3 linked regions of the Neodiprion lecontei genome follow. The protein of the gene in region 2 purifies or fractionates together with the protein of the main gene of each other region. This does not show direct contact. Links are inferred from orthologs where the notes say so. Each region holds a gene or a part of one and is shown on either strand. Other genes may lie near its edges.

The links.
Region 1: the proteins of cullin-3-A (region 2) and ring canal kelch homolog purify together in Drosophila melanogaster (affinity purification with western blotting; 3 studies listed by BioGRID). This does not show direct contact. The link is inferred for Neodiprion lecontei from reciprocal best matches to the Drosophila melanogaster genes Cul3 and kel.
Region 3: the proteins of cullin-3-A (region 2) and BTB/POZ domain-containing protein KCTD5 purify together in Drosophila melanogaster (affinity purification with western blotting; 4 studies listed by BioGRID, with this or other methods). This does not show direct contact. The link is inferred for Neodiprion lecontei from reciprocal best matches to the Drosophila melanogaster genes Cul3 and inc.

The regions. Positions count from the first base shown.
Region 1 is NC_060260.1:28,569,493-28,576,062, reverse strand, and holds the start of ring canal kelch homolog, read right to left. Parts: upstream 3,687-6,570; 5' UTR 3,280-3,686; coding exon 3,227-3,279; intron 2,359-3,226; coding exon 2,212-2,358; intron 717-2,211; coding exon 312-716; intron 222-311; coding exon 1-221. UniProt on the Drosophila melanogaster protein: Component of ring canals that regulates the flow of cytoplasm between cells. May be involved in the regulation of cytoplasm flow from nurse cells to the oocyte during oogenesis. Binds actin.
Region 2 is NC_060264.1:23,155,988-23,165,307, reverse strand, and holds cullin-3-A, read right to left. Parts: upstream 6,630-9,320; 5' UTR 6,615-6,629; coding exon 6,489-6,614; intron 6,414-6,488; coding exon 6,030-6,413; intron 5,955-6,029; coding exon 5,751-5,954; intron 5,668-5,750; coding exon 5,488-5,667; intron 5,375-5,487; coding exon 5,000-5,374; intron 4,931-4,999; coding exon 4,760-4,930; intron 3,991-4,759; coding exon 3,883-3,990; intron 3,763-3,882; coding exon 3,585-3,762; intron 3,506-3,584; coding exon 3,279-3,505; intron 3,201-3,278; coding exon 3,031-3,200; intron 2,963-3,030; coding exon 2,824-2,962; intron 2,739-2,823; coding exon 2,614-2,738; intron 2,517-2,613; coding exon 2,492-2,516; 3' UTR 2,456-2,491; exon of another isoform or gene 1,828-2,455; 3' UTR 1,334-1,827; downstream 1-1,333.
Region 3 is NC_060261.1:41,717,826-41,724,752, reverse strand, and holds BTB/POZ domain-containing protein KCTD5, read right to left. Parts: upstream 4,013-6,927; 5' UTR 4,011-4,012; coding exon 3,786-4,010; intron 3,624-3,785; coding exon 3,327-3,623; intron 2,974-3,326; coding exon 2,782-2,973; 3' UTR 1,164-2,781; downstream 1-1,163. Other genes in the region: glucose-induced degradation protein 4 homolog, read left to right, coding at 4,338-4,484, 4,841-5,008, 5,849-6,081, 6,194-6,257.

The sequences.
Region 1 (6,570 bases), on a different chromosome or scaffold from region 2:
CGACTCTCTGGACTAGGTACTCCTGAGAAAGGAGAGGCAGCCTGACGTGCTCCATCAGCTGAGCAAGGTGGTCTTGCCTTCGCTCCAGATCGTTGTGGACCCATGATATAACGCACTCAAACACCTTCTCCTCGGACGGAACAGTCAAACGATCGCTGCATATCAGCTTGGCGACTTGTTGCGGGGTCAGGGTGAGGAACTCCTCTCCTTCGACTACCTCTCTGCACGATCGAAAGCAGAAGTGAAAGAAAGGTGGTAAGACGAGGGAACCGCGCACAATCATCATGGTTACGAGTATCTATGACCCTTACGAGAAATGTTGTTCTATGTAGCTGTCGGCGTGCGCGAGGAGCTCCATACACCCGTGGAGATCGGCGAAGGCTCGGATGCCAAGGCAGTTGGACGGATGGAGTTGGGCCTGAAGAAAGTCGCAGCACGCGTCACGGACGTCGTTTAGCTGGAGGAGATTCGCCGCCGGCAGAAGCACCTGCACGTTGTCCTCGGTGACGTGAACCTCCGCGGAGTAGACGTAGTCGACGAGGAGGTCGAGAGCAGCGTGGTCAACACCCTGCAGAGTGATCCTCTCTCGTTCCCGCTCCTCGAAGCTCGTAAACATCGCATAAAAGTACGGGCTGCACGCGGCCAACACCATTTTGTGGGCAGGAACTTCCACCCCGCCATCCGCCACCAAGGTCACGTCGCAAAGCAGGTTTTGCCTATGATCAATTGCATTTTGTGTCAAACTTTTTTTTCCCTCACCATTCCTCAGTTCTATGCCTATCCTTGCCCAAAGTTGTGATAAAATAGATCGTAGACGCGACTTCTTTCCGAAGAGGTATCGACTTTAACAGCAAAGAAAAGTTTTCCAGCCTTCAAACGGCGCCGATAGTTTTCGCGATTTTGAAAAGGGAATTACACAGTGAGCATAATACATGAAAGCAAAGTTTCATACTCCAGATATAACAACGTTAGCGCTGAATTTGAGGAATACCTGTAGCGTCCACTTTTATGGTCGCGAGTAGAAGCATTATTGATGAGAATATTTGAGCTTTTCAGAGATTTAAAACATGTGAATGTTGTAATTGCTGTTTCGAGTTTGAATTTTCCAAGATACATTCAACGAACTACATCTTCGTTACATGTGATGGGAGGTCATTCATCTAGGGGAGTAAAAATGTGATATTCCAATCTTCAAATTATTTTGTACATCGCCAGTGTCTATACGCTGCCGTTCACATTTTTTTTCTTTCACACCATGAAAATTCCAGGTTTTATTCGAAGGGTAGGAATAATGATGTTCAAAGAAGGTGTGTCACGCTGTTACAATAAGCAGTAAAATCTGTTGATGCATGAAACGGCGGTACGTGTTAAATTCTAAACTTCCGGCCCGATATAGCGTCCGTCGATTACTCGAGGGTATTTCATAAATCCTTAACAAGAATCGAAAAAACGCCTGGATCCGGTCGCGGCGATTCATCGGGCTACACCGAGAATTCCAGAGAATGCTCAAGATTATTTATATCGATGGTGTAAACGAAAGATGCCACACTCCGCAGAGTATTGAATCAGTGACGTACCAAACGTTCGTAACATAAAAAAGTCTAGACCAAGAAGATCAAAAAAAGCAAGGAGCAGACAAACAAATTGCACTACGCGTTTCATGCGGTGGATGACGAAACTCCTTAAGATTAGCCCGTTTGTTCACCGGAGGCTGTTCCGTTGTAATCTCTTTTTTCTCTTCAATTTATTATCATTCTATTTTTTGTGTGTTCGTTTTTTTCCCCCCGAATATCGCGGCGCCTCTAAAAGTAGAAAGTGTGTAATAGTTTGCTCATTATATGCTAGTGACCACGCTCACATCTTCGCGCAACCGTTGAATCAGGAGCTAAATTGACGGTAATTTGTTACTGAAATCATGATGAATTAGCAAAGGTCACTGTCGGATATGTTGTTATGTCATGGAGGCGTTAAGTTGCGAAGCGAAAAGAATTTAAAAAAAAAAAATTAAAAAAACAAATCGAGAAAATAATAGAAAATCTATATAAGTAAAACGTAACAGGTTGTGTACTAAAATCTTGGGATACAAATTAATGAGACTTTAACTATAAATTTCTGCGAAAAGCAGCTTTTTTTCCTCGGCATATGCCGGATGTGTACGATCTATTAATTTTCTACGCACGGTAGACGCAAGTTATTGAATGTAACACTTACTTTCTCATGGTATTCATCACGTCGAATGCCCGATTAGTGTGATGGTGGTTTCGATAAGGTGGTTTGTCCTTTCCATTTTCCCTTGGAATGTGTTTCTGTGAGCTCTCGTCGAGCGAATTCTGGCTTGCGTAGCGCAGTAGCAAACAGCTGAAAGTAAACAAAGTATATTTAAATGAGAAATGGAAAGTACCAAGAGTACTAGAAATGAAAAATTTCTCTATTGCGAAATTGAAACTTTTTTCTCTGCTCCATGTTCGCTCATCGCTCAATATTTTTTCTATAAAAGTATAGTATACGCTGTACATAGTTGTGCACGAGACGTACAAAGTCCAAGGGTGAAGACCTTATTCCCACTCCGTCTCCCAGCAGCTAGATAACAAAAATAACTTAAACCACAAGGGGAAAAGAGGAGGAGGGGGAGAAGCGGCAGGGGATATTTAGACAAGCAGACATCATCGCCAGACAATGATCCGTACGTTCTCACGTCCCTTTGACCAAAGATTTGACAGATATTCTCGGAGTAAGATAGATCTTCATTGTATTTCACGGGAGCATCCTACTCCGGAATATCGTTAGGAATACAAAAGGCGCCTTGGCTTTAGCTTGAAACGCGCCAGTCACGATTCGCGCAGTTAGGAATAAGATCACAGAATTTCTGGGTTTACCGTTGCACCGTACGAATGACTGTCAATTAGTATTTTCTCAGTATTCGTACACTTTTCGAGTAAGTAAACAGAGGCTACAGGCCTCGTATATCTCATACGATCCGTGTCTGCATGTGTGCGATATGCGTTGGGAACTTCGCGGTAATTTCTATTTAAGGAGTAATTTTCTGCAGCGAATTTTGCTGTTTTTGTAAGGAAAGACCGTTATTAATGTCGTCAGCAAACATGTTCGTGATGTGTTTCACGCCAATTGTGGACACATCGTAAGAACAAGTGAGCTACGGTGAATTTCGAACGTTTGAACATGGTTTCCTACTTTCGACAGAGAGAAATAGAGAAGGAGGTCTCACCTGCCCTTGGTGTCATTTCCATCGCCGCTTCCGCTGTTCGATGACGGCTCCATGTCCACGGTGATTCGTGATAGTGCAGTTTAGTAGTCGCAAATTAATCTATAGAGATTCCATTAAACACAAATACGACGAGAGATGTATGTATGTCGGATATCTCGCACGTTACGTGCCAACACTGTTTTTCGACTAAATCATCGTCTCGGACACGGAATTTCGACTATTGAACACAACACGTATTCGATACACTCTTAGAATCATCATGATATAGTCTAAGCTTTCACTGTCTATCATCGGCCACTTTTTGAAAACGGAAAACACTCTCTTCAACGAAAGTCGAGCCTAAAACCAAGTTTCAGCTACAGCACTACTGGTAAACACCAAAGATGGCGTCCGATGTATTTATAGATATGCGAGGGTACTCGTATCAACAAAGTTGTAACTCCATCTATTGACGTTTTCATCAAGCTTTTGGCTCCCCAAAAGCAATAGTAGATAGAACGGGACCGTCTTACCGACCGTGATTAGTCGATAGTAATTCTTTTCAAAAGAAGGTCAGAAATTGATAACTATTGCGTTAAACCAGTGAAAAAATTTAAAATCTTTATTGATTCACGTGACATCGTTTTTCCATAATAACCGAAGATTATTCTACGTTGATGACGATTTGACAACAACGAAAGAGCCGTACATATCCTACCGACTGATGATACGGTAGTAACCGAACAAGAAAATGTTTAAGAAAGTTCAGTGAAACAATTGACGGCGTCACGATCATACCAGTTTGTTTGAACGGTGTTTTTTTTTCTCCTCCGTTATGCAAATTGCAAAATTAATTGCGCTCACACGAAAGAAAGAGAACCAAGTCCATCGACGTATCACCGCATTCAAAGAGTGCCAATGACGATGAGTTATTAATTAGAAAAAAATAGAAAGGCAAATTAATATCAAGTTCGAATGACAGCGAGGTTCATTGCGTGAAATCGCGGAGACGTCGGGCGGAAAGCAAATCTGATCGAGCGACGCTTGCCTTCAATAAATACCAAATGTACCCGAGCGAAAAAACGCTACGGAGAAGAAGCAACCGCCGCACAAACGTAAGAAGAAAAGAAAAGAAAAGGCGGAGGAGGAGGCAGACTGACGAGGCGGCTGAGGTGTGGTGGAGGCGCCGGGCGGCTGGCGTGAGTATCGCTCGTGGTCCGCGATATCGTGGAGGCTTCGGAAGGTGCCCTCATCGCGCGATTCGATAGTCACCCGGCAGCCAGCCGTGTAAGCGCGTCGCGGTGTTCGGTCGGGACTGGGATACGAGTGTATTGGATGCGAAGAGTATAGGGATCTCGTATAAAAGCTCCCAGGATTAAATTTGGTAAAAAATTAAAACAACGAAAAAGAAGAAGAAGAAGAGGAGGAGGAAGACCCAAAGCCGGGAGACGATCCGCCGACTGCATCTTCGATTCGCGTCGTGGATCTCGAGGGGAGCGAACCGTTCACCAGGTTTGCTTGCTCTTCTTATCATTGGCATTCGAAGGCCGCGTGGCGGGCTTTTTAATCGGCGAGGTTTAAGCTGTTGCGCAGCCACGTATATATGTATACAAAGACACGCGCAAAAAAGTGACAGACATAACGGTGATACTGTGCGACGGAAGTTAAGCTGAAAGCCGGAACGCAGGGAGCATCTCGGCCCTTTCTATCATCTCAACTTTGCTAAGGGTGCGTGGTCCTTGTATGATCTGTAACGTATGTTCTATCAATGTCACGCGAAACGATATCGTGCTAACAATAAGAATCGTCCCTAGCCACGCGTACATACAGGTATACAGTATACAGCGTACACCTGTGTATTATACACATATACCTGTATTACGTGTTTGCAGCGCACTTGACGTCGTGACTTGTACATATATGTTACGTCTGTTCCTCTCGTCGACGTAGTCAGTATTTTATAATTGGTTTTTTGTTCTTTTTCCACTCGCAATAAACTTCGCCTCTCGGGTTACCGCCGCCGCTTCATCACACCAGTCACGACATGTCTTATTCGTTTCGGAATATGTAGACAACTACACCGCGTGTATACTTACCTCCGACTAAGGTCTCACCGCAAAATGTTTAATGAAACAGCAGGTCTGTTGTGACAAGTGCAAGGCTATTATACGGCTTATACTTGCGCGCATTTAACGGTATTTTCCAGCCGATTATCGTCATTAATCAAAAGAATTAAACTCAAAGCTACAATATCGAACGCTTCGACGAGCAGCGATGAAGTTACGCGGATCATCCAAACGTTTATAAGTTTCTGTAAAAAAAAACGAATCTACTCATTCGTGAATGAGGAAAATAATATTCAATCTTCGTATGCGCAAAGCATTGGCAACGAATCGCGCGGACTATGACTCAATTGAAACTTTCATAGTTGACTCGCGTTCCGGATAGATTCTCTTATGCTCAAGCAATGAAACAGGTATGAGAAATGCCAAACTGCGCATTTCGGGTTTACGACTCGACGAAAGGATGAGCCACGACGCCGCGCTGAAGATTCTATCGTGTCGTTTTATTATCGATTACCTACTTGTGTACAATAATATGTCTTACAGGCCTCGTTTTCTTCCGGCTCAATTCACCAGTTTATTAATTTATTTTTTTTAACGATCACTGCCACCATTTTCCGCCGCACAAAACGGCTGTATGAATTCGCGTGCAGGCCGGTTCATTCAGAAATTACGTAAGCAAATTAGGAAACGCGCCACTTTGGTGCACTGAATGAAACGTTATAGCGTGTATGAAATTAACACCGTCATGGCACGCAATATGTGGGACGCCGTGTATACGCGCAGCGCATGGCACCGATCACCGAATTATTCTGACCCGTACGGTTTGCCTTTGGGATTTGCACGTATTTGCAAAATTTTTCACACTGAGTCACTCACAGGTATTTGCGTCGGGTGGGGGACGATTAGGCTGACGAAGAATTCAGCAATTCGCCAACAGCTGCGACAAAGAAGTTGAATCAGTGTGACTTGAAACGTTCAGAGATTGCTAGAGGTACGGAGGCCAACTTACGAAAAGGTGCCCGGTTATGGGTGTGTTTTTCAATTAGCTTCCCGGAACCCCGAGTTAGCGTATACGATATATTAGGAACGGTATAATATCGAGAGTCGAGATATGAAAGGGACTCGGTGCCAATTTTCTCCGATACGGCGCTCCATTCTTTAGTTGTTATTCGCGTAAACGAAATGTTCATAGAATATAGGATCTCGGTTCGTTGACAATTACAGGTCATTACGCGGTTCAAAAGTTTTTTGTCGATTGATTTATAACAAGGCGAAAAATACTAGGTCAACTGAAAAATA
Region 2 (9,320 bases):
ATGCAACACGAATACCATTGCCACATACCGCCGGCCCTGTGAATTGTGCAAAAAAATGTAACTCAACATAATGTGACGAATCGCTAAACTGCTACGAGAGTAAGAATAATCGATGGGGGACCCGATTCGAGGGATCCGCAGTTCGTCGGTGCGTTGCCCAATTCGCCGCAAATAACAACAGCGAACGTGTGTGTGCAGGTCGTGCAATTTGCGAAACACCCGACACTCCGACAAAACTGCTCATTCCGAAGCTAAGGCCGAACATATAGCATTATACGTACATGATGAATGCGTCGGCTCAGGGACAGTTGTATGGCGTTTCGTGTACCACACCCCGGAAGAACTGGCAATCCTAGGCCATTAACGAACTTATTTATATCCCCGGCGAGGAGGAAGTATTTCAGAACGAACGTCTCTTCTCACCTCCGTGTTCCCGGGGGCTGTGGAAACGACGCCGTGATACAATACACCGGGAAGAATACGCGAGTACGAATCACTGCTTCCGTCGAAATGGGAAATCGTGGTATAATACCGCGCTATGATGCTACAGAGGAATCAATTGCCGCTGGACGAATGGATGAGGGTCGCTATATCGAGGAAACCGCGTGCGCTGCCTTTTTCCTAGTGGGGATATCGCGGTTTTCTATCTTACGCAGCGGCGCGATTACGTATTCCCGGAACGTACGGGACGCGAATGCATGCCTGCACGTGACTTCTTTTGACCTTGTCAGAGGAATTGGCAATGAATTTTCGTAAATCGAATGGTGGCTGTGTAGTGGAGAGGGATGCAATGGTACTCACTAATGTGCAGGGGTGCGAAATCATCCAGCCCTCGTTGTTCACCGCTCTTCAAAGAAGTCGAAACACGGACTGGTAGCGGCACATTATTTTTCGCACACAGATGAAACGAACGCCTCGTCCACGTTCGGTGAATTATTACATGTACTGACAAGCTCGCGACGGAGGTCCAATCCCTGGAAGTCCTGGCGCCACCAACACCGGCGGCAAACTAACAACGCGCCGATCGCTGCCGACGCCGCGCACGATCTGTCACAATTCCCCCTGCGCGCAGAATCCGGTCTTGCTTGAGAGGAATTTTTAATTGTACACGTAATGATCAGCATTTGTACCGCGACGAACCTGAAAACTTGATTCTGACTGTACCATTTTTTGAAGCACAGGTTCGATTTTTTGTGATAGAAACGTAATACGAGAGCATTCATATTTCTTGTATTTTTTCTGTTCTGTCGTCATACGTGAATCTGATAAAATGTATGAATTTCTTGTCCCAAATCAGGGTTCACCCATTATAATGTTTATAGGTAAAATTGACTGTATTTAAATCCATTTATTGATACAACGTTTTTTTCATTATCATATACAATAGTTTGAAGATACATACTCAGACACACCTTACTTATACACCCAGTCAAAAAAAAACTTTTCGCATATATTATATACGCACATTCGCACTCAATTTCTACAGTCGCGTTCGTAACAAATTAGGTATAGGCAGTCGCTGTTTTACCCACGACAATATACCTGTGTATATTATTTTATAGTTTTTGCAAGAGCCAAATTCTACAAGGAATTATTCAGAGAGGAAGTGGACATGAAACGGGACAAGGGTAGGGCGGAAGTATAACACGTAAAATGTACGCAAGTATAATTCATTAATGCATCTGGAATAATTTAAATTCTTTATAATAATTAAATCTATATTGTTTACCGTTGGCGAGTTTTTTCTTTCTCAAATTAGTTACAGATTTTATACGATCAATTCATTTTATTTCGACTCAGAGTTCTTAATATCAGAGTCGATAGATTCTGGAAAAAATAAAAATAAATAAATGAAGTATATCTTAATGTTTTGATTTCATTATTATAGATCTTATGTTACACTCTACAAACGTCCGTTACCGTTAACCACTCATCACTGTCACATGTGACAAAACAAAAGAAAATAGCAAAACCGAATCAAAACAAATAAAACGAAGAGTACGGAGAAAGTATTCGTGCAGACTTTGAACACAAATTAATTTTAAAAGACTTGGAATGTGCAGAGGAAATTTGTATTGCACAAAGCAGTTGTGTTCGATTAGTTGATACGAGACTAGTTGACAGTCATGTGACAACGATGAGCAATTATAGAACTTCTTTGGGGCATAACAATTCCCCAGAAATACCCAGTTTGGTTCATGAAGTACACGTCGTGCGTTCTCTACGCAGTTACCCTTGCCGACGGCCGTATGTGTACATAGTATATATATTTGAAACAACTCGGTATCGAATGTAAAAAATTTCGTTTATTCTTTTTAAATCTCTATGATAAGGGGGAAGGATAATATAATAACAACGATTGCCGAGGAAATATCCGAATAATTAAATACGCGCAGGCTTGATACTAATACGAGATTGTGAATACCGTGCCTAATATGTTGGGGTGGCCACTTACGCAATTGTACAAACTTGGGGATGCTTGGGGCAGTGTTCAAGCCACGTAAGTGTAGACTTTCCTGTAACAAATAGTGAATGTAGGGATGAACCGAAGTTTTGTTTGAGTCATGTGGGAAATATAAGAACGGTAAAAACAAAAAGAACTGTGTTATTCACCTGTCTTCCGTGCGGGCCAGATAATCACGTTCTATCAGCCCTTCGATGCGTTTCTTGATGATGACAGGTGAGGGCAGGAATCGTACTCGAAGCTGCTCCGTGACTTCCGTCACGAGAATGTTGTGCTAATTAGATTGAAACAAAGTATGAGATAACGAATACGATCGAGATTCATACATTTTATGAAGCGATCGACAGACGAATACGTACTGTCATGCGTTTGCGTGCCTTCATAATTCGCACGATCGCCGCTTCTATTTCATGCTTTCGATCTTCGTCAACCTTGTTCCTCGTCTCTCTTCTCTCAGGCTCGGACTCTCCTTTCGCCGCAACCGTCTGGATTTTTACTCTAGAAGTTGGACAGACCCGATATAAGGCAGAAACGATCAAAGATATAATGTCAATCTCAAAACTTACCGATGAAGCTTACTGGTGAAACTATCATTGACACTGAAGCAGTGTGTTGGCTCAATTTCTTTAGTTTTGGGATGCTTGAGGAGAACTCGCTGAGTCGCCTTCCCCATTGCCAGAGATTGTAATGCTCGGACTAAATCTCGCTCAGGGATGTCAGTTTCATTCTGAATTTCCTGCGATATTAATAAACGCTGGCATCAGTAGAGATCATTTATCTTTTTACCAACTAAAATCATGGGAATGTAACAAACCTCGTAAGTGAGTCGATCTCTGTTGTTGAAGAGCATGAGTACGCACATCTGGTACGTCGATACTTGGATAATATGTTTGCGGGGATTTCCACTGCTGCTTCCCCGCTGACTTAAAAGACTGCCACTTCCGTTGCCCAATGTGGTAGAGGACGAGGGAACGTCCACGCTTCCGCCATTACTGTCTTCCTTCCGAGGCCCATGGAAAACCGCATTAAGGTCAGCCGAACCTGTGCACACGGTCAACAATGAACCATTAATTTGCCAATTCTGCTTGAACTCGATTCAACAAAGATGACTAGTAATTACCCAATTGTGGTTGTAACGTCAGTTGACGACCGCTATGCTTGGCCAAGTAGAAACATCGAAAAGCATCAAACGCTTCTCTTGGCGCTGAGGGCACACTGCAATTCGGTGTTGCTGACTGTGTTGGCCAAAATCCTGTTGTCAGAACCCTCACGCTCAGATCAACGCCGTGTAGACTTGTCTGTGAAATTTGATAAACAATTATCCAGAAATAATTATGCCTGAGCAGTTCCACGTCAGTTTGATCATTTCAGATTTGATGTGAGAATGAAGGATTTTTTTCAACACGTTTGTAACTTACGCCAGACGTTAATACGTGTTCCTTGAACTCTTCCATTATAGTATTGCTGACCGTCATATCCTTGAACATTCCTTCCAGCTTTGATGTAAACTGGCAACCGCATTCAGTCTAAAAAATTGCACAGTTATGAGTTATTATATAGGTACGTATATACAGTGTCAGAGTCTGCGGTAACTGTTTTGAATCGAGGTTTTGACCTGCCCTGAAGTCCTGCAGTAGTTGACGAAAGGTTTCTACATTCGTACGTCTTTTATAAGTAAAGTGCTAGCTTTATTAAACCATGCAGAACTCCAAGGCATGTGTCTTTGCCACTCCCTCTGCCAAATTGTCTATCACACCAATTGCAATATAGTGTTTAATCGGCTAAGAAAATCAGAGCTTCGTAAAGCATGCCCGAGACACGCGCCGTGTCTGAATTTGATCCAATACTTTGACGAATAATACTCGCATACGAGCCTGAACCGAAGGATGATTAAATTGTTGGAAGGTTTGACGGTTGGTTGCTCAGCTCGAAGCATGGTTTTCAGCATGGTTTACAAAGCGGACACTTACTTGATCCTACAATGGGATCGGGACACAGGGTGGACGGACATACTCTAGTCTAGTTTCTCTTTGTGCACTAGCCCTTCGACCTTTGAAGGAAGAACGACTCCTGGGAATCTTTGGGTGGCTCAGCGTTCAGCTTTTTCATTGCGATCAAGATGTCCACGTCCACGTTGAACGCGCCCTGTGTCTGCCAGAACTATGCCATTTAAAATTTTCACACTATCCAATGGGACAATTTACTCTAGCCTCAGTTTGCCAAAGTATGCCGAATGAAACTAGGTGTCAGCGCATCTACGAGCGCGTTTGTAAGACGCAATTATGGATCATGTACCTTTAGCTTTGAGATCATATTCTTTTCACTGTCATCGGAGACGGACTTATTCAGAAGCAACCGCTTGGCTAAATGCTGTTTATAGTATCGCTCAAAGACATCCTTCTCTTGCAGGAACCTGAAGAGAACCATTGTCTTGTCAAGCACGCCTTCGATCTCCTGCTCTGTCATCTGTAGAAAGTAACATTTCAGTTAAAACCTGCACGAAAGGATCTTCATGCCAAGCCGCATTCAACTTACCCCCTTTACACCTTTTTTTAATTTGTCATCGATAAAGAGAGAAAGATACTCAGGGCTCTTTGAATTTAGATTCAGAAAGTGTTCAAAATCCGACGCGATCATTTGCTTGAATAGTTTATCATTGTTAAACGAGTGGTGCAGGAAATGGTCGAAACGATCTTTCAAGTCCAGCAGATTTTGCACAAAGTGTATTGCGTTTGTGGTTGGCTCATGCTCTTCTTGGACCAAGGCGCGTCCTTGCTCTCTGAGGAATTGCGACACACAATCTGATACAGTGCGCAATCCGTCTGTTACTCTCGCGAATAATTTGTACATGCAACCAAGGTCTTCAGTTTTCTGGTTCTTCAACATATGCACCACACCACTGTTTTCCATCTGCAACAGCATTCATTTGAATTATTTCAAAGTTTACAAGACTTTAGAGCAATTCTGTAACACGTAACAAAGATTTGATATACATGAAGTTTACTGCTAAATTTTGTCCTCACCTCAACGATGGTTCTCATGTGTATTTTAATCAACTCTTCTTCCACCACTTTGACTATCCTTGGCTCTGTGGATTCGTCCAGATAGTGCTTCGCCCGTTCTGACTCTTCAAGAATTCTAGCTTCAACTTTCTTTATGTAGACTGAGGCGCTGTTCTCGCCAAGGAACTTTTGCGACTCCATCTGTTGAATATTCGTTAAACACGATTGATTGAAAATTAATAGGACAATTGATATGGTTTTGTGAAAATAAAAGTAAAACTTGCCCTGTAAAATTCAGCGCTCTGTTGTAAGAAAGGCCTCTCGAAATCCTCTTCGTAAACTTGGCGACAGTTTATACCGAGCAGCATTAGCATTTGACATGCATTCTTTATCGCGATTCGATCAACGACCTCCCCCCTTCTCTCTCTCGCTACCATGCCCAGGAGTGTCTCGCGTAGATGATCCCTCACGCAGCCGTACCTGACTACCTGAAATAAATAACGATTCGTCAAAAAGGATTTGTACAGATGTAGCGAAAGCAACGGTTTCAATCGATGTGTTACCTGATCCCTGAATATGATTAGGCCCAAGTTGTAGACGTTGTCAACATCATGCTGTTGCACATAAACCCTATCCATGTACATTAGTATATCCCTGATCATAACCATAGAGGTCTGATGATCGTTCCAAGCCTGATTCAGTGTCTGGAGAAAATTGTTGTGAAGGGAGCGTAGCACGTCTTCCCGAACTTTCGACTCCAGGTGCTGCGTAACAACTTCTTTCAACCCGGTGTACAAACGCTCGCCATGCTTGTGAAGGACCATGGTGTATGCATTTCGGTACAGCTCCTCAAAACTCAGGCCGGAGTTGTTTTTCTTTTGTATTTCTTGTATGGCGTTCTTCAACAGTGCCCAAATACTCTCCACATATTTTTCGTCCATGGTCATCTAAAAACAGAGCATCTAGGTGTGAGAATAAAAAATCAACGCTGATTTGGCAAACTAATAGGCAGTGTCCCTCACAAGGGTGTCGACGATCACAAGGGAGCTCGGATTCCCTGATCGAAACAGCCCTGAGATAGTAGCTATTTCACTGAGTGCTCCACACATAATTTGTGAAGTTGGTTTTTCTAACTGACCACGTTCCATGGTTGGATTTTTATCCAATCCTTCTCTGTGTGGTGACCGCTCAATCACTTTCTTTAACCTATTGTTTTATGTGTCGATCGGCATAGTCGCCATATCAAGAACGCTCAAAATTAACCTTGACTTGTCAATATAGCATCAGCAAAGACGTGATTACTGCTGTCACTAAATTGGAGTTTCTACATCCAGGCCTAGTCCTTTGAACAGGCAATCTATCAGCCTATTGATAGTTTCAGTGATTTGTAAGACTTTGGACTTGAAAATTTGGCGAAAGTAGCGTTTGTCGGGGTGAAAAATTTCGTTTTTGGATTTGTAGGGAAAAAAAAGTGAAAGGCATACTCCTTTCCATTGTCTTTATGACTGCTAAGGCAACTGTCTTGAATTTGGGGGGGGGGGGGGGGGGGGTGAGAATGGGGAAAAAAACACATTAGGTTCGTTCACCAAACCAGTGCACCTTTCGTAGGCTGCTGTGGTTTGGCTATCTTGATACAATATACAAAGGGGCCGAAAGTGAAAGCTGATCAAATATATTATATTGTTATATGGTTTTAGTCGATGTGAGCTAGGTTAAAGGGGTCGGGAAAGAGGAGGTGGGGAGGATGACGGGTGGACATATTTCCATTTAAATGACAGTGCGTGAAATCCGACGGACCCGAGCGTCGAGCCTCGAGGATCGTGAGATCGTGACAATATGAAAACTGCCCGAGTCGAAAGGCGAGGCGAGGCGAGGCGAGGAGCAGCGAGTTTTTCCTCCTTTTAATCAAATGGGCATGCATATTCGTCGATGAGGGAAATAAGATACGTGAGAAATCTTCTTACCGGAAACGCGCGTATCCGCATTTTTTCTCTCTTGTGGGTCGCACCGCTCTTCATCATTTTCAGTAGTAAAAAATCTCCTCAAGGGTCTTCGTTCAGCTTGACACTTCGGTATTATTACTACCAACACTATAAAATCGAGTCAGCGAAAATCTCGATCTCCGTACGCACATTTACAAAGCTTTAACGGTGTCATTCACGCATCGAGGCCAGGGGCGGGCGCGGGGGCGACGTGTATTTCGCAATGGTGGGTTCGAGGAATAATATCGACGCTCGCTCGACGGTGAGAAACAACGGGGACCGAGCGACCAGTCAATGTCGGTTATTTACAGGAAAACAAGGCATCTGAAATTACCCGTTATCGCGGGACTGTGTGGTGGGTAGTGGTAGGTATAAAATGGAGTCGCGCCACCAAAACACAGAATTTATTTTATAGGGTTATTTAAACGCGTCTGCCTCACGTCGTCGGTCTTTAACAAGCTCGTCTCTTCCTCGTTAGTTCTCTTTGTGCTTTTCTTTCCTTTTTACCTCCGCCTTAATTAATCTCACTTCAATGGAATGACGCACATATTCCCACAGATCGAGGCATACCGAATTTCAACCGTGTGTATCAGACGATCTATTTTCCTAATTATTCCGCGACGATGACGACGGGCTGCCGGAGGAGGAGGAGAAGGCGATGAAGCGAGCACGGAGCGCGAATAACTAATCGAGCGCTGTGGGCTGCGTTCGATTCACGCGGTACTATAAATACACATTTTTATCACGATGTAATGGAACGTAACATAAAACTGTAACAAAATACGCGATTACCACGCATAATTGTATACACAAAATATCGCACTTGGCGAATAATCCTATTCCGTTGAATAATTAGGCTGCATTTCATTACCGACTACCGGAACTACATGCCTCCAACCCCCATGGTAAAGAAGTTCCCGTACAGCTGACTAGGAGCCCTTTGTTCCGATAGTTAGATGGCAAAGAGGTTTTTTTGAACGTAACGTAACCTAAAACTATAATAAAATACGCGTTTACCAAGCATAGATGTATACCGCGGTATATCGCACTGGATGAATTATCCAATTCCATTAAACGATAAAGCTGCATTTCATCACTGACTGCCGATACTACAGCTCTATAGCATCCATGGTGAGAAAATTCCAATACAGCTGTCTAGAAGCCTTCTGTTCGGATAGTTAGATGGCTAGGAGGGTTTTTGATACTGCAATACCTCTCGCTCTCGGTGACGCAATTTCCTAGGAATTATCATGATGCACTACACTGGTCTTGTAATACAATGACTTTCTATTAGCCCTTCGAAACTATTCGTCCAAAGCCGATAGTTCGGAAGTAAATGCTTCATAATTTTTTTCAGTGCTCAAACGAACGCTGTATTTTCGGCGCATTTAAGGCTCACTCATCGATCACCAATTTGTTGAAATCAATCTTTCATTACAATGAACTAGCAAGTAACCGGTTACCGATAATTTAGATATAGGTGGAAAAGAATTGCGTTTTATGCCAACATTCAAGTTGTGGAGTTACGTAAAGTATACGCAATTCAAGTATCCAACTTGATCTTTGACCATGGCTACTCAGGAAGTCTTGAAGTTATATAATTTGAATACAGTGTAGCTGTAGAGCAAGGTTTCATATCAGTCCACAGCTATTTCGAAGGAATACGAGACTATAGATAATCCAACAATATTCGCACATGCAGGTTTTCACAGTTCCTGTAAATGAGGCAATCAAATGGTAAAATCATTGTAAAACATATTTATAAAACCTTTTGTTTATACATTGAAAACCAGACGAAAATCGTTCATTTGACTTATAGGTTTACAAAAATATTTCACAGGCTAAAGGTTCCTGTAATAACAATGGCATTTT
Region 3 (6,927 bases), on a different chromosome or scaffold from region 2:
TATTATTTATATTACTTTTTTTTTATTTTTCATTTATTCGTTTAGTTTATTTAATGTTTTTATAGTTAGTCCACTGTCAAGTGAACAGGTCATGTATATTTCGATTATAAATCTACTATACAGAACCATCTTGTTAACCGTCAGGCAACACATTCTATTTAATATAATAATAATATTTAAATAACAACAAATTTATAATATATACTTATCATACAAATCGTTGGAATACAACACGAGACAAATACCCTTGAAATCCAAAATTCACGAAAATGGGAAGAGCATGCGATTCATATTCGTGATGGAAATAACATCAAGTTGATGAGAATTTTTGTCAGTATGTTAAAAATATCTCCATTATGCGATACAACATGCAACAAAAATAGTTTACTTTTGGACTTAAAGAGTTTTCGGTGTATGCCTGCGATGTGTAGTACGTGAATTTATTTCTTCTTTAGCCTCTGCAACAAATAATGAAATCGTGATATTGTCACAAACTTTCATCACTCGTTACATATTACCGATTACCAAACTATTTTCGTTAAGTTATGCTAACAACATAGTTGCAGAGGTGTGTACATAACTATATAAATTTTATTAATCGAGCTGCTAAGTTAAACAGAAAAAAAAAACAAAAATTAAAAGAAAGAAAGAAAAACACAGTCTTCGTCTTCTTGCTGCAACGTTGGTCTAGCAGGACTAGATTTACATGCGTGAGCCCTTCTGCTGTAGGACCTAGAATAGAATCGAACAACTCCAACTTATTATTTTTAATTTTATTTTATTTCACGTGCTTTTAAAATAATTATTGGTGCTTTTGGATTCATTTTAAAATACATAACGGATAAAACCATTTTTCTTTATTATATTGTCATTCCTACTTATTTTTGATCAATTACCTTAATGTTACGTAGAATTCTAGATAATCTTTTCTATATCTACGCGATGGATATTGTATATAATTACATGTATTATCGATGTGATCATAAATATGATAAAGTAATATAATAACTGTTCTCAGTACGAGAAAGCAGGGATACAACAACGCACTACTGGACAATCACATTAGAAATTACTGTAACCAAAGTTAATTTCTGTACCCATGTATCAACATGCCAGAGTAACCATGCAAGACGGGGTGATGATAGTAACCAAACCAATTGTACTGGGATGAAATAACTATTTATTTGACGAATAGCATGCAATACAATGGTAACGAGGAGCGAAAATTGAACAAAATAAAAGTAAATCACATATAAACACTCCAAAGAACAACATGCATGTATAGATCAGCCTTGTGATGAATATTCGATAATACATCGAATATAAATTACTTAATTTGAGACTCGTTAAATTCACATTAAACAACATTAATTTCAGTCACAAGATATCTACTGCCTCGCTAATATGCGCGTTCACGAATTGCTTAAAAACGTATAACATCACCCTTCTCATATTTGGATTACCTTTTGATTTGAGATGCTGGAATTTGACAAATCAGAGCCAAGATTCCAAAATTCTTTTATTATAATTTTCCATTTTTTTAATTGATTGAAACTGGTGCGGAAACTCTATAATTTATATTAAATAATATAAAAACTAAGTTTCCTTGCCTTTAATGTGACAAGGAAACGTGCCTGAAAACACATTACTAGAAAAAATTGATAAATACACGATTATAAGCGTGAAAATTATTAGGCAGAAATCGATGTTCTCAAATTTCCCAATTGATTTTTGTTCTATAAGGTGGAAAAAGTTGGTAAAAAAATTACTTATATGTATGTTCTACATATAACATGTTCAGAACCACCAGGTTTCAATGTTGAAACATTACAATATGATGTTTGTCGAGGCATTATTCTGCGAGGAAACATTGATAATTTCCTGACGATAAGATTAATCTTATAAGATCTATGAAGGCAAAACGAATGAATAACACCCCGATAAAATTGGATACAGTAACACCTGTCAACATTCGTAGTGGCTGCTCTAAGTAGTATATTATATAAAAAATATCATACAATATGTATACCAGTGGAAGTGCAGAGCTTTTATGAACATGAAACATTATAAAATCACTATTATTAGTGTGAAAAAAAAATAATAATGAATAAAGAAAGCGTTAAACTACGCGCTTACAATTTCACTGTCATTATTATTAAGTTTTCAGAGAGTCTGTTTTCTGATGTTCTTGATTCACATCCACTAGTTTACAAGGTCCGTATTAAAAACTTCATCTAGCTAAAGCAAATTGTTCGATTTGTTATTGAAAATCTTTGGACAATCTACATAATGGTAAATACAATAAAAAATGATTAATACAATACTTCTACAATGTGCTACTAGTAAAACAAATACTGGCATTTCTATAAAAACTAAATACCGAATCTTTCCTCACTTCTCTGCATATGCAATGAAACTTCATTATATTTAGTACAAAAACCATTCGTAATAAAATTAAAATTAACGAATTTTAAGATGTAAGAGATACTTGTACAGCAAGTTTTCCAGTAATGAAATACACAGCCATACTTAGCTCTTACTAGAGAATGACATATTTCTATCGTATTCTGTTTTGTATTTTTATTTAATAAATTGGTCCACTAGATTAAAATACTGTACCAGCTCATGAAGCTCTTTTGAATGTCCGTTAACAAAAACGGTATTCAAGAGAAAATTGTACAAAAATTACGGAATATAAAACCAGGCTTAATATCAATGCTGGTGATGGAGGTGTAAGGGTAGTGTGCAAGTACAAAAAAAACTGTAACACTTATTCCCGAATCATGAATCGTGACTGCTCTGAGTGGGGTGGGAATGTAGGATGTTTGTATAAGGTGTCAATACCTTCACACGATCAGTCGCCTCTTGTTCCTTGCTGCTGATCTGACTAGCTCCGTACTCGCGACTAACGACGCATAGGAACTCCGCCTGATCCTCATTTCCATAATTGTACTGGGATCCAATGTTGATGAGCTATAGAGACAAAAGATGAAAGTAGCAAATCATTGTAATTACTACATTGATTTGCGCTAAGAATACATTGGGTGCACAATCTACTTGAGTACTTGGAAAAGTAAGTATATGACGAAATACCGATTTCAGAGTTATAACTGAAGTCGTCGGAGTTTAAGATATTTTCGTAATACGTAGAAAAAACCGTTTATCCTCTGGATTGAGCTAATAAATTCCAGTTGTTTGAGGGAATATTCCTTCAATCAAATTTAACTTGGCTAAGTGCATTTTTACTCTACTAACTTTTCATCCAGACACTTTATCAGCGGAACTGCGCACCCAATTCCTCTTTAAGCCAAACGAGCAATTCATACCTGTTCAAATTTCCACCCGTCCGACATTGTGGAAACCATCTGTGTCAGCTCATCTTCGTGACATTGCAATACCCTGTATACATACTTCTTAGAGTCGCGCATCGGCCGTGTATCCCTGAGAAGAATTCGTTCCTTAACCAATCTAATGAGCTCGGTAATGTTGTAGAATTCAGCCTCCTCTAGGACTCCTTCTTCAGCCAGGTCCTTGTTGATAACTAGCTTACCGTGACGCAGGTAATTCAGAACTGGACTAAAGTAAGTTGGATCTCGATCGATCAAATACGCTCCAGTTTCATCCTATGGATGTAATAAAAAAAAAAAAGAAGCAAATTAGAATTTTGAGGCCATATATACTCACGTGGTGGGAACTCGACGCTCGAGACGAGACGTGGAGTTTTATGATGTCGTGTGTTAGCGCACGGTTTTAAAAGTCCCGGTTCTTTTCGAGTGTAAACTAACCCTATCAGAGATGAGATCCGAGTCTTCCTGACACAGCCGATAGAGAAACGAGTTCGGATCTCTGGCCAACGTCGTTTTGGCCGTCAAGAAATACGTCCCACCAACATTCAATTTCACCCACTGATTGTTACACCGTTTCGGAAGGTTATTTTCCGTCACTCCGTCGTGGGAGTTTGTATCGCCAAACTCCGCCATCTTAGTTTTGACACAACATTCTCCTTCCATTTCCGATCACCGTTAACATGGATCCGGAAAACGTACGCACAACTGCTTTGAGCAATCGAAAAACTAGGCGATTATGGTCCGCGATAAAAAAATGCAAGCGTTGGAACCGCGGCTAATAGATCTCAGTTGGCATATTTGCATTCATATTTTTCGATCGTCTTTACACAACAGATCGCGAGTCAGCTGCAAATTTGATCAGCGTTGTTCGGGGTCGAGACCTTATATAAATCCAACCATCTTTCGTGCGCTACCGGCAGTCATTGCGATGATCTTGTGACGAGGAGATGTTTGATGGTTGTTGGCTCGGTTTGAGCACTCAGGCTTAGAATGCCGGTGAAAGTAGACGTGGTGCCACCGCCGCCTGCTAACTCGAAGCAACCTGGAGTTACAAAGTCCCTCCTCTACAACGGCTCGAGATTTCAAGGCTCGCAAAAATCGAAAGGAAATAGTTACGACGTCGAGGTTATTTTGCAGGTTAGTTGTGCTACTCGTGTTGCGGATTAATTACGCCTCAACGTTGGGATTCTGCTGAACACCTCTCGGTGTCTAACTGGGTACCAATTCTCCAGATAACCGAGTCGCGCTGGGTTTTGACACTTTACTCAGGCCTGTTTGAACGCGGTGTCTAGTCTGCGGATTTTTATTTTAACGAACGTTAATGTCATTTCCAATCATCCACGCTGATCCGTGTTTATCACGTTTTCATTTATAGGTTAATCAGCTACAATATTGTACCAAATATAATGTTAGCTCTCAGCTGACGAATTTTAAGTTAATTACAGCACGCTTCGCCTCGTCTAGTAATCTTCTCGTCGTTGATCTCATTTCAGCATGTCGACGAAGAAAACAGCTACTTATGCGGGTACCTCAAAATCAAAGGGTTAACTGAAGAGTACCCTACATTGACAACGTTCTTCGACGGTGAAATCATATCTAAGAAGTATCCTTTTCTCACTCGAAAATGGGACGCCAATGAGGATGTTGACAAGAAACATTGGGTTTGTTCTGAACTTTTTGAATAAGTTTTGAATCCAAATTTCTCTTTGTATAATACTTTTCATCATTTACCTGACAGGGCAAAATCGTACTATCAAGAGTTCAAAAGTTACAGAAACAAGGCTTGTTATGAACTACATTGTCTATCTATTTTTCCCTCCCAAAGTTGTTGTCTTTGTCATGCAAGTGTTAGATAATCAAAGTTGTTTTCTCGTAATTAGTATATCCGGTGACATAATATATCTGTGATAATCCCGCAATTTCATGAGACGAAATTAGTTTTGCTTATCTTTTGTGGTGATAAGTATGCATGTGTATTTCATTTACTCAATTCATATGTGAATTCTGTAACAGTTGAGGCAGATATACCATTGAAACTGGCTGAAAATACAATTGAACTTATCAGAAATAAGGCTCTGATATTTTGAAATAACTGTATTTTTTCTCTTTTATCTTTGTTGAACTGGTTACCATATTGTTTTGAATATGAGTAAATGGTTTTGGTATTAGATAAAACATGAAAAGACTTACACCCTTCATTCGTGTGAGATGCCCTCACATGTAGATTTATAAAATTTTTACCGAATAAAAGTCTGTGGAACACAACTCGACTTGTATTTATAAAAATATTGTTTGGAACTATTTACACAAAAAGTTCTGCTTGAATATTATTTTCAAAAATGAATTAATACTCTACGAGTTTTTTGATTCGAAGACTCTGAATACCACTGTTTTACATATTTTTCTCGTTCATTTCAACTCCATTTTTATACCCTTTAATGGATTCACCTAATTTCTATGTATGTATGCAGTAGTGAAAATGGTGATTGCTATTATTACAGAGCAAATTCGAGTCTTTCTGTCAGTATGCCAAGACTTTCAACTCTGATACCTTTGACTATGAAGCTCTTAAAGGGACGGACTTTGTATTTATGAGATGGAAGGAGCACTTTTTGGTGCCTGATCACACGATCACAGACATTAATGGTGCTTCCTTTGCTGGATTTTATTACATCTGCTTCCAGAAGTCTGCGGCATCAATCGAGGGCTACTATTACCATCGCAGCTCTGAATGGTTTGTACATTAACTTGTTTGCACATGTTTTAGTCCAGTATATGATAACATATATGCTAAGAGACATAATCTATGATGTTGTTTAATGTCTATTGGTGTATTATTGTTGTAGGTTCCAGTCGTTGAATCTGCGACATGTTCCCGAACACAGTATACAAATTTATGAATTCAGGTGAAAGTAATGCCAGCTTCTCAGCCCCAGTTGCCCTTCTGAATCCCTTCCCTTATGGCATACCGATCTCATAATAATCCCAAATCCAGAAATTGACATATACCCCTTGTCTTGACAAATTTGTATATTAATTTTACAAACTCGAGGCTGAGAAAATTGGCAAATTGGGTTATCATTTTATTCGCAACGTATAAGTCTGTATTGATACCGATTAATAAAACAATGCGCTTCTTTTAAGTTTGTATGAATACAAACGGTAAGAGTCGAGCTGGTTGTTATTTATTATGGAACGGTAGAGGAACAGAGTGCCTCGACGAGTGATACGCTTGCTTATTAATGATTAATTATACAAGTATTCATTGTAAGGTGTTTTAAAATCGAAATAAATCAATTGATGGCTTTTATCAATTAAACGAATTGCATCTGAAAATTCTTTTTGTACTGTTACATATGTGCTTGCAGTCAATGTGTCAGGAGCATGCGTATTTTTTCTCTCAAAATACTAAATTAATATTGGAATTCGAAGGTTGTGTTTTTTCCTTTGTGAAGAGCAAAAAAAGAATAGAAGAAAACTTATAGAGTTAGTGATTTTGTCACAAAATTGTTGTTATTATTTGTTTTGATACCATGCTTTATTCTACATTTGTACATTTACAGTTTACATGTAAAACGGT